2 linked regions of the Schizosaccharomyces pombe genome follow. The protein of the gene in region 1 interacts with the protein of each later gene in a pairwise test. Each region holds a gene or a part of one and is shown in the gene's direction. Other genes may lie near its edges. The genes, in order: ppk15 and dca7.

Region 1 (4,848 bases):
GAATGAAATACGCTGAACAATTTAATTATGAGGAAGTGATTATATTTTCCATCTAACCAAGTGTATACTCACTTTGCTTCCTTGTCGCAAGCAATTATCTGCTTAGCAATTAATAATCCGAAAAAAATAATCGTTTATTTATTGAAAGTTTTAATTGTCTAAATATTGATGCTCTTGAGATGTACATTTGTTAAGAAAATGAATTAAATTATTCTAACCCCTCCCCCGAAAAAAAAATGAAAAAATACTAAAAAAGATAATGATTATGGAAAATTTTAAAGGAAAAAATTTGTTTCCGCAGCGCTACTCTTGATTATTTCGTAAGACCAAGTAAACTAAATATAAAGCGTTTTGTCTTAAAAAACTATTGCAGTATAGAATGTTTCCTCTACTGCAAAACAAAATCCATACAGCTAGCTCTTAGGGTTATCAATTAGGGTTATTGAAGCCATACATTTTACCTGATCACTGTTTATGGCAGCGATCACAGTCATGTTAAATTACGTTACAAGTCGGTATTTAGCCACGTTCCTTCAACCACTTAGTCAAAAATGGATCGCATTTCTGCTCAAAAAGATATTTTCAAAAAGGGTATGTCCCTGTAAAACTATTAATTTAACATCTTTTAGTCGTCAATAAGGAAAACTCTTCCATTTTCGTGAGTCTTGGCGTATTTGCAGTTTCTGTAGCCATCTTGAAATCCAGACTGGGAAACTTTTTGGTACCACAATTGTAAATGGATGTTTGAATTTCACGGACTAAACGTCTTCAGCTTTGGATTCAGAAAAATATTACTTCATAACGTTGTATGGTTGTTTCATAAATAAAATGAACTCCCAGTTTCAATAAAGGTTCAAAGCTAAACAACATATATCTTTCATGAATATCATTGTGCTTTGTAATTTTTGTTAGCGATCTAAAATTTGAAATATTTATGTTATCTAGTGTCATGCGAAGTACGTAGGAGCATTAGTTGGTAGGAACATTTTTACATATAAGCTAGTTCGATTCTGATATCTTGCGTCTATTTATGTTTCCTTAGATGTTTGAAGTCAATAACCAATATTCGTCCATTCACTACAGATTTTTGTGTGAACATTGGACTAGGAACCATTTCGTTTGTCGTTTATGCGAAAATTTTTATGTACGAATGTAGTCGGCGTGGAGAATGTTTTAACAACGACTCCTTCATTTACAGATAGATGCCAAACAAGAAACGTTTTTCCTCCTTTTAATATCCAACCGGTTACATGGTTGTGCAACATCCAAATATACTAAGTATGGAGAATATCCGTTTTTTCGAAAAATTGCTACTATTCTGAATTAAGGATGCGTACTATTGGTAAACATTGCGCTTGATGTTTCGAATAAGCCTTTCAATGGAAGTTGTTTCTTATTTATCGCGGTTATTGGTATAGACGGATGTTTTGCACCAAATTCATTCGTCTTTTCAAATACGAATTGATTTCGTTGTGGAGAGTAAGAGCAGGAACCTTAATGTAAGCGAAATTATCGCCTTCTTAAGTCATGTCACGGAAACCTGAAACAATATTTAATTATTTAATTGGGATCTAAGATCCAACTATTTAATAATATAAGAATCAAAAGATCCTCTTCTAGTAACTTTTTCTTGTATTTTTTTGCAAGCCAAAGTTTTAATGACGGCCTTTTAATTCATTGATACACTCTATTACGTAATAGATTGAAAATCAGTAAAACTGATTAAGGCATAGCAAGCAATTGTACTTTATTTCAGTCATCGTCAGCGCCGTTACACGCGGCTCACTACAAAGCGGTGTGTCGTCATCCCTTTCCTTCAGATTCCTCTCTATCCTTTAACCAAGCCGCTTTTTTTGGTTAAATCCTTCATCTTTCAATAAATTGCGAAATCTCTCAGTGTTGTTTTTCGTATAAATTTGTAATTTATACGGTGGAGTTGATTAGTTATTCGTTCAACTCGCACTGTGCATATTTATCGGCTTATTTTAGTGAATATTTTCGATTTTCTGCCGAATATTATATTTGTATTTGTAGCTACACGCTATAAACAAGAAAATTAGAAGATTCCTCCAAATTCATATTTTAAGCTTCATATCCACAAGTGTTTCCCTTTGTTCCAGATCGAGATTATCGTAAGCGAAACTAGCTCTTTGTCAGTTGTTCCATTAAATTGATTAGCCGGTTGGTGCGTTCATTTCAAACTCTTTGACTTTTTTCCTTTAAAGCACTTCTTTTTTAGATTCCTTTGGTTAATCTGTCAACTACTACTTTGTAAATAGTATAACTTGTGGTTCCTTTTTGCACTGTTGTGCATCGACTCACGTTCCAAGAGATCACTATTTTACGTTACTTTAAAGTGATTCGAGTGTGAATGAAGGCACTCGTATTCTGCCTATACTGATATATTCTTTGCAATACTTTACAAAAAGGCGTCTCTATTCATATGGATTCGGATTCGCCCATTCTTCCATTATCGAACAATCCTCCTGCTGCGAGGACTCATGATCACTCGCAGCGTAATAATCATGCTCGTCATGTCTCGTCTTCTGGAACAACTTTGTTTGCTCCTGTCAAACCGGCAACCAAGAAATACAATTACAGAAGGGTGTCTCCCCATGGAAGCTATATTAGCGTACGAAATTTTTTACTTGCTCTGCATTTTACTAATTAAACATATAGCCCTTAGAAGCAATGACTGTGAAACTAGCTGATACATATTCAATTTGTAATCCAAAATTCCAGTTTTCTTCCGAACAAAACCCTCGGAGACCACTCACCAAACCCAGTGAAGGAGTTCACAACCATGGTTTTGATAACGTCAATCATGATTATGTATTGTATGTTAACGATTTGCTAGGAACGGATGAAGGCCGTAAATATTTGATTCTCGACACCCTGGGGCATGGCACATTTGGTCAAGTTGCTAGATGCCAAGATCTTAAAACCCAACAAATTGTAGCTATTAAAGTTATCAAAAATAAGCCGGCATTTTATAACCAATGTGTGATGGAGGTTTCTATACTAGAGCTCCTTAACAATAAGTACGATCCAGAAGACAAGCGCCATTTAATTCGTTTATATGATCAATTTATGCATAAAAATCATTTGTGTCTCGTTTTTGAGTTACTCAGTATTAATCTTTATGAGCTTATCAAGCAAAATCAGTTCCGTGGTTTACATTTAAGTCTTGTTCGTTCTTTCGCAACGCAACTTCTATCGTGCACATCTCTCCTCAAACAAGCTCGAATCATACATTGTGATCTAAAGCCGGAAAATATCCTGTTGCAGGATTTATCATCACCGATTGTGAAAGTGATAGATTTTGGTAGTGCTTGTCACGAACGCCAAACAGTTTATACCTATATTCAATCGCGATTCTATCGCAGTCCGGAAGTAATTTTAGGACTACATTATAACTGTGGAATTGATATGTGGTCTTTGGGATGCATTTTAGCTGAACTATTCTTAGGTCTTCCCTTGTTCCCTGGAAATTCCGAATATAATCAATTATGTCGGATTGTTGACATGCTTGGTAATCCTCCCACTTGGATGTTAGAAATGGGTAAAAATTCGAAGAAATATTACAATTCTGGTTTTGTAAACGGTAGAAAAACTTATGAGCTTAAATCGATCGAACAGTTTTCTATCGAAAACAACAAAACAGAGCAACCTGGAAAACAATATTTTGGTGAAAAGACACTCGATGCTATTGTTTTAAATTATCCTCGCCGAAAAACCACACCTAAGCTTACTCCTGAAGAACATGAAGAGAGACTTTGTTTCATCGATTTCATAAAGCAGTTTTTAGAGTTAAATCCTTTGAAGAGATGGACTCCTGACCAGGCGAAAAATCATCCTTTTATCACAGGTGCCTCTTTCAGTCAATACTGCATTGACAAACAAAAACCACTGCTTACAACTCAAAGAACGAGGAACCGTTCTCATACTATTGGAAATCAAGCGGTGGTTCCTCCTTCCTTACAGCGTGCAAGCACTTATGTTTCCAACGAACCTGAAGAATTTGTACATACTCGACCGCTGCCTCAATATTATCCTCCCGCTAATGAGAACGAAAATGTAGATGAATTTTTCTAATGTCATATTTTACGTATAGAAACATTCAAATTTATTTAAAATATTTAATAGGCATGATCCATTCCAAATTTTTTTTTTATGTTGTACCAATTTTCTAATAGCTTTCGTAAAACGTTTTCAATTTTCATAAAGCATTCAAACTTTTGATGATATATACATACTACGAATATTTTCAAAGTTCCTTCGAGGCTTCAATATGCAGTTTTCAATAGTAAATAGTATAAAGCATTTACAAATTTAACGCTATATTTAGCGCTACGGTAAATACTCTATGTAGAGAGGTTTTATACTTTTATGTAGTAGACATTCACAAATCGCCAAAATGAAATCAAGTTCACTTGAAAATGGGACTCTTGCTAATGCGGGTGTTTACGAAGATGATCTAGATAGCGACGAAGAATTGGTCTCAGAAGAAGAATTTGAAAACTTTAATAATGAAGATTCAGAAGACGATGAAGACTCAAACAACGAATCAAAAACAGCTAAAAGTCGTATGTTAAAAATTCTTTTATTTTCTTAATTAATATTTACTCACAAATTTGAAGAGTTAGCTGAGATTCCGTTTGATACATTGTTGAATGCTCAAAGGGACCTGCTTAAAGAACAGCAAAAAACAAAGATAATGACAGAAAAAATATGAAACATACTGAGAAAGTTGACAAAAAATTTTTGGCGAAAGAAAGAAACACGCCCCTCAAGAATTGTCAAGTAAAAAACCAGTTTCTCGTTTTCGCGAAGTAATATCTGAACCAA
Region 2 (4,439 bases), on another chromosome or scaffold:
AGTCATTGCAAGTTCCAGTACATAAGGCTTTAAATCTGTCTCTTTGTCTGCATTTAAAATGTATTCAATAATGTCAAGTCGATGAGCCTCGATAGCAATTCCCAAAACATGTCTCCATTCGTTTTTAGCATAACATTTTTGAAAAATGCCCTCGACTACGCCACTTAGTCTCTCGTCCAAGGGGTCAGCCTTTGGATTTTTGTACAACTCTGCACTTTTATGAATAAACATATCAATACATTTGAAAATTAGTGTTTCTTTGTAATCACTATTTTTGTCATGCAAAAACTTTGGACCACTTGACAAGGCAAACAAAAGAGCCTCATCATATTCTCCAAGGTAATAATAAACTTTTGAGACTACCAAGGCTGCTAATTCGCGTTCAGGAAATGAATGGTCCTCATACATAACCTCAATTTTCGTAACATCATCCGATATTTCCGGCCATAATTGATCAATAAACTCATAAATTTTTAGTAAAGCATGTACTTGTAATTCTCGCTCTTGCTCGTCCAGCAGGGCCATCAAACCACCTATCAAAAGGATTAGTGAACATGATTTCTACATTTTTTCATTGTTTAACGCTCGACGTACCTGCTGACGTTATAATAGAGGTGTTATCAGAGTACACCATAGTCATTTCGACGAAACTAGACCTGTTTATTTAAATCTTACAAACTATATAACAGCAGGTGGTGTTTCGTTGTTGGTAAATACCCTGAACCGTTGTGCTTCATTCCACCAACACATTCGGTAAGGGTAGGGCACTTGTACCAATAAATGTTTCAGGTATATTAAATGTAATGCTATATCATGTTATCCACACCACACCACCTAAATAATATTCAGTATTATCGAAAAAAGTCAAATTGTATGTTTCATCAACTATGTAAGATATCTCAACCCAATGAGGGATTTATATGAGTATCGTATCAAAATGAACGAACTAAGTAAAGCTATTCTGATCGTTCTATAATATGATTCTCATTGCCTTCTTATCATTCGCTTTTAGTATCGATAAATTTATAGTCTTTAGCTTAACAAAGTAGCTAATTTTTGTCGAATTTTTTTTTTAAAGCATTATAGTTGTTTGACTTCACAGTTATACTTTCATTAGTATTTTTTGATAGTATATATTACGCTGGGATCATTCGTTTAACTTGCAGTACGTATCAATGCCTAGTACAATATTACTTTACAAATACAATGTAATATAACAATTATCATGGTTCAGTAGCTTTGCAAATGAACTGTTTGATCAAGAAAATTTAATGTATTTCATAATTTTTCTCGAAGTCAATTCTATCAGTAATGAAATAACTAAGCCACATGGATGCGTCCAGAAATGATATCGAGGCCTTCCCATGCCACAATGTTTTTGGCTTTATTAAAACCACTGTTTTTTATTGCTGGCATGTTAATTGAATGGACATTTTTCGATGTCGTCAAACTGGAAGCAAACAGAAGCTAAAGTAACCCGAAATGTATTTTGTTAAAACATAACTATCTTAACTCTAAATAGATATAAAAAATTCTGTGTTTCACGCATACAATGATATTAATGTATATGTAATGATACCTTAACGGAAGCGCTGAGTACGGGATCAAAGGTCAATCAACAAAAAAGGGTGAAGCAATTGTACGCAGTCGCTTCTTTTAATTTACTAAAAAATTATTGAATAGGAAAAAAATTACAAATATAATAAAACAATTCTTCATTTTTGCGTTTTCGCTTTGCAGCCGGTATTCGCTGTTTGCTTTGTATTGAATATACATCATAAGTGGGGCGCTTACTTACTTTATCCCAATATCCACACTTCGCGCACAATGACAGATTTACGTAGAAATAGGTATTCAATATCTGCTGGCGTTGGAAAATCAGTACTTGATTCACTTGGCAAATTCTACGGATCGCCCAAAAGACAACTGCCTAACAAATTTGAAGCGGGAAAAGAATATACTGGATACAATGCACCGTGGATTCCATTTGCCTTGGATTGGTTAAAACAAGGAAAATATTCTAGTGAATGGATTGCTATGGGAAGTTTGAATGAAGAACCAAATAATATGGTATGCTAATTGCAAAACCAGGGGAAATATTATATAATTTTATCTGTGCTTCTTTTGGCATAGACTCCAAAGATGTACTCTGTTCTACGAAGTTACTAACCAAAAAATTGTTTAGATACAATTGTTAAAACTAATAACTGGGGATGATGGAAATTCTCACTTGGAAAAGGCGCAAGCAGCAACTGATCTTGAATACCCAGTTACGAAGTTGTTATGGAATCCTTCATCGGTTGGTTCTAACACCGACTCCCAGTTGCTAGCTTCTACGGATCAGCAATTGCGATTATGGAAAACCGATTTTGAAGCGGGGATTGATTCTCCTTTGTTATGTCAAGCCTCTTTATCTACCGTATGATTTTCTTTTTTCTTCTTGGCGACTAATGTTATAGCATGTAAAAACTCATAATAATGCTCCTCTAACTTCGTTTGATTGGTGCAAAACTGATCCTTCATATATCGTAGTGAGTAGCCTTGATACCACTTGCACAGTTTGGGACATTGTAGCCCAGCAATCAAAAACACAATTAATTGCTCACGACAAAGAAGTTTATGACGTTGCGTTTCTCAAGGACAGTATCAATGTTTTTGTTAGCGTAGGAGCTGATGGCAGCGTCCGCATGTTTGACTTGAGGTATGCGATCCACAATCGGCAATTGGATTTTTCCTTTTGACAGTAGTTTGTTAACTTTCTTTAGATCATTGGATCATTCCACGATCATATATGAGGGCGATAGCACCTTTTGGAAGAGAAACGGTGACTATACAAATGCTTCTCCTCCTGTCTCAGCTCCTTTACTTCGACTTTCTGCTTGCGATTCCGATGTTAATTTAATGGCAACTTTCCACCATAATTCTTCTGACGTCCAAATGATTGACATCCGAGTGCCGGGAACTGCTTATGCCACTTTGCGTGGACATAAGGGGGACGTGAATGCGGTTAAATGGATGCCGGGCTCTAAATCAAAATTAGCCACTTGTGGGGACGACTGTGTCGTTTCCTTATGGGATTTGGATCAGCCAGTTAATCCTTCCCCAGCTCCAACGCTGAGTGTATCTGGAACTACACCTGGTATGACGGGCTCGACTTCAGAATATGTGACACCCGTTTCGTCGGTGAATTCTATGCGTGAGACGGCTTCTCCGTTGAATGCTGATAACCAGTATTCTCCCTTACTATCTTGGAAGTTGGAACACGAAGTGAACAATCTAAGCTGGTCTGTAAAAAACGACGGATTAGCGGTTGTTTACGGAAAGTAAGCACTTTTGGAGTAAAATAAATATTAACATCTTTTTTTAGATCCCTTGAAATACTGAAGGTCCCTCAATGATCTAGATTTTGTGATTAGTGTTGTTTTACGCATTTCAATTTAAAAAAATTAAAAAAAAATTAGATTATGAATGCAAATACACTGAGGAATAAATTTCTTACGCTTTTTTCATTTGCTTAATTACTTTGTCAAGCAAAGCTAGTTAGGCATTTTATGTTGTCCTTCGTTGTCTTCTTGTTAACTATTAATAAAATTCAAAAAAGTTATGTTTGTTTTTGAGAAAATTTGGAAATAGAACCCTATGAGTTGCGTGTTGAACTATGGTTTTTTCAAATCAACTACATGTCTTTCGGAAACTTTTGGCAATTGGGTTTGCACATTCAAGCGCAATGTTTATGCAATTTCCACTTTCATTTGCGTATCTCAGCAACGCTGGAAATGTACAAAGCTCTAGGGCGATACGTGTTTTCAAATGATAAGGAGTCAAGCAACTTTTACAGAATTTTTTTAATTTAGCTTTCTACATCGATTAAAACTTTGAATAGTCTTATTCTATTATTGTTATGAAGTGAAATCTCTGTTTGTTAAATTAGTGCGGCAGGAGCTTAAAATACTTTACGTTTTTTGATTAATGAAGCAAATTTACCGCAAAATGTAACACATGTGGAATTGTAAACGATTTGATAAATCATAAATCAGAAGCCATGGCTGATTACTACAAAAAATCAGCTGCATGCTGTGAATGCGATGCATGGAACACAAAACACATTAAGCGTTACATCCATATGTGTAAATGAAAAGAGATAGGGATTACCTACTAGTAAAGAAAATATTAATGCTTTTATTATGGATTCAATTAAATAGCAATTAGTAACGATTTTGTCATAACTAACTTTGATTTGACAAGTACAGTGACACATAGATTTTTTAACTTCGTTTAACTTCGCTTGTATTAACGTAGCATGGTATATTAGCTTAAATTTACTCTTGTCGTTAGCTACCACACTAAAATAGATAGTGATGATCATAACAGCTAAGAACTGCAGTGCAGTATGAATTCGTTAAGAAGCAGTCAAGAATTCAGTCACAGAAGACTGCTTT

The links.
Region 2: the proteins of ppk15 (region 1) and dca7 interact in a two-hybrid assay, tested with the Schizosaccharomyces pombe proteins (one large-scale study listed by BioGRID).

What each region holds. Positions count from the first base shown.
Region 1 is NC_003424.3:2,583,312-2,588,159, forward strand, and holds ppk15 (serine/threonine protein kinase Ppk15), read left to right. Parts: upstream 1-1,861; 5' UTR 1,862-2,443; coding exon 2,444-2,632; intron 2,633-2,679; coding exon 2,680-4,095; 3' UTR 4,096-4,163; downstream 4,164-4,848. Other genes in the region: tom6 (uncharacterized protein), read left to right, coding at 552-591, 630-736.
Region 2 is NC_003423.3:3,322,202-3,326,640, forward strand, and holds dca7 (WD repeat-containing protein), read left to right. Parts: upstream 1-1,801; 5' UTR 1,802-1,827; coding exon 1,828-2,070; intron 2,071-2,185; coding exon 2,186-2,419; exon of another isoform or gene 2,420-2,439; intron 2,440-2,459; coding exon 2,460-2,701; intron 2,702-2,726; exon of another isoform or gene 2,727-2,765; coding exon 2,766-3,323; intron 3,324-3,367; coding exon 3,368-3,398; 3' UTR 3,399-3,810; downstream 3,811-4,439. Other genes in the region: proteasome regulatory subunit Rpn2, read right to left, coding at 1-533, 595-640.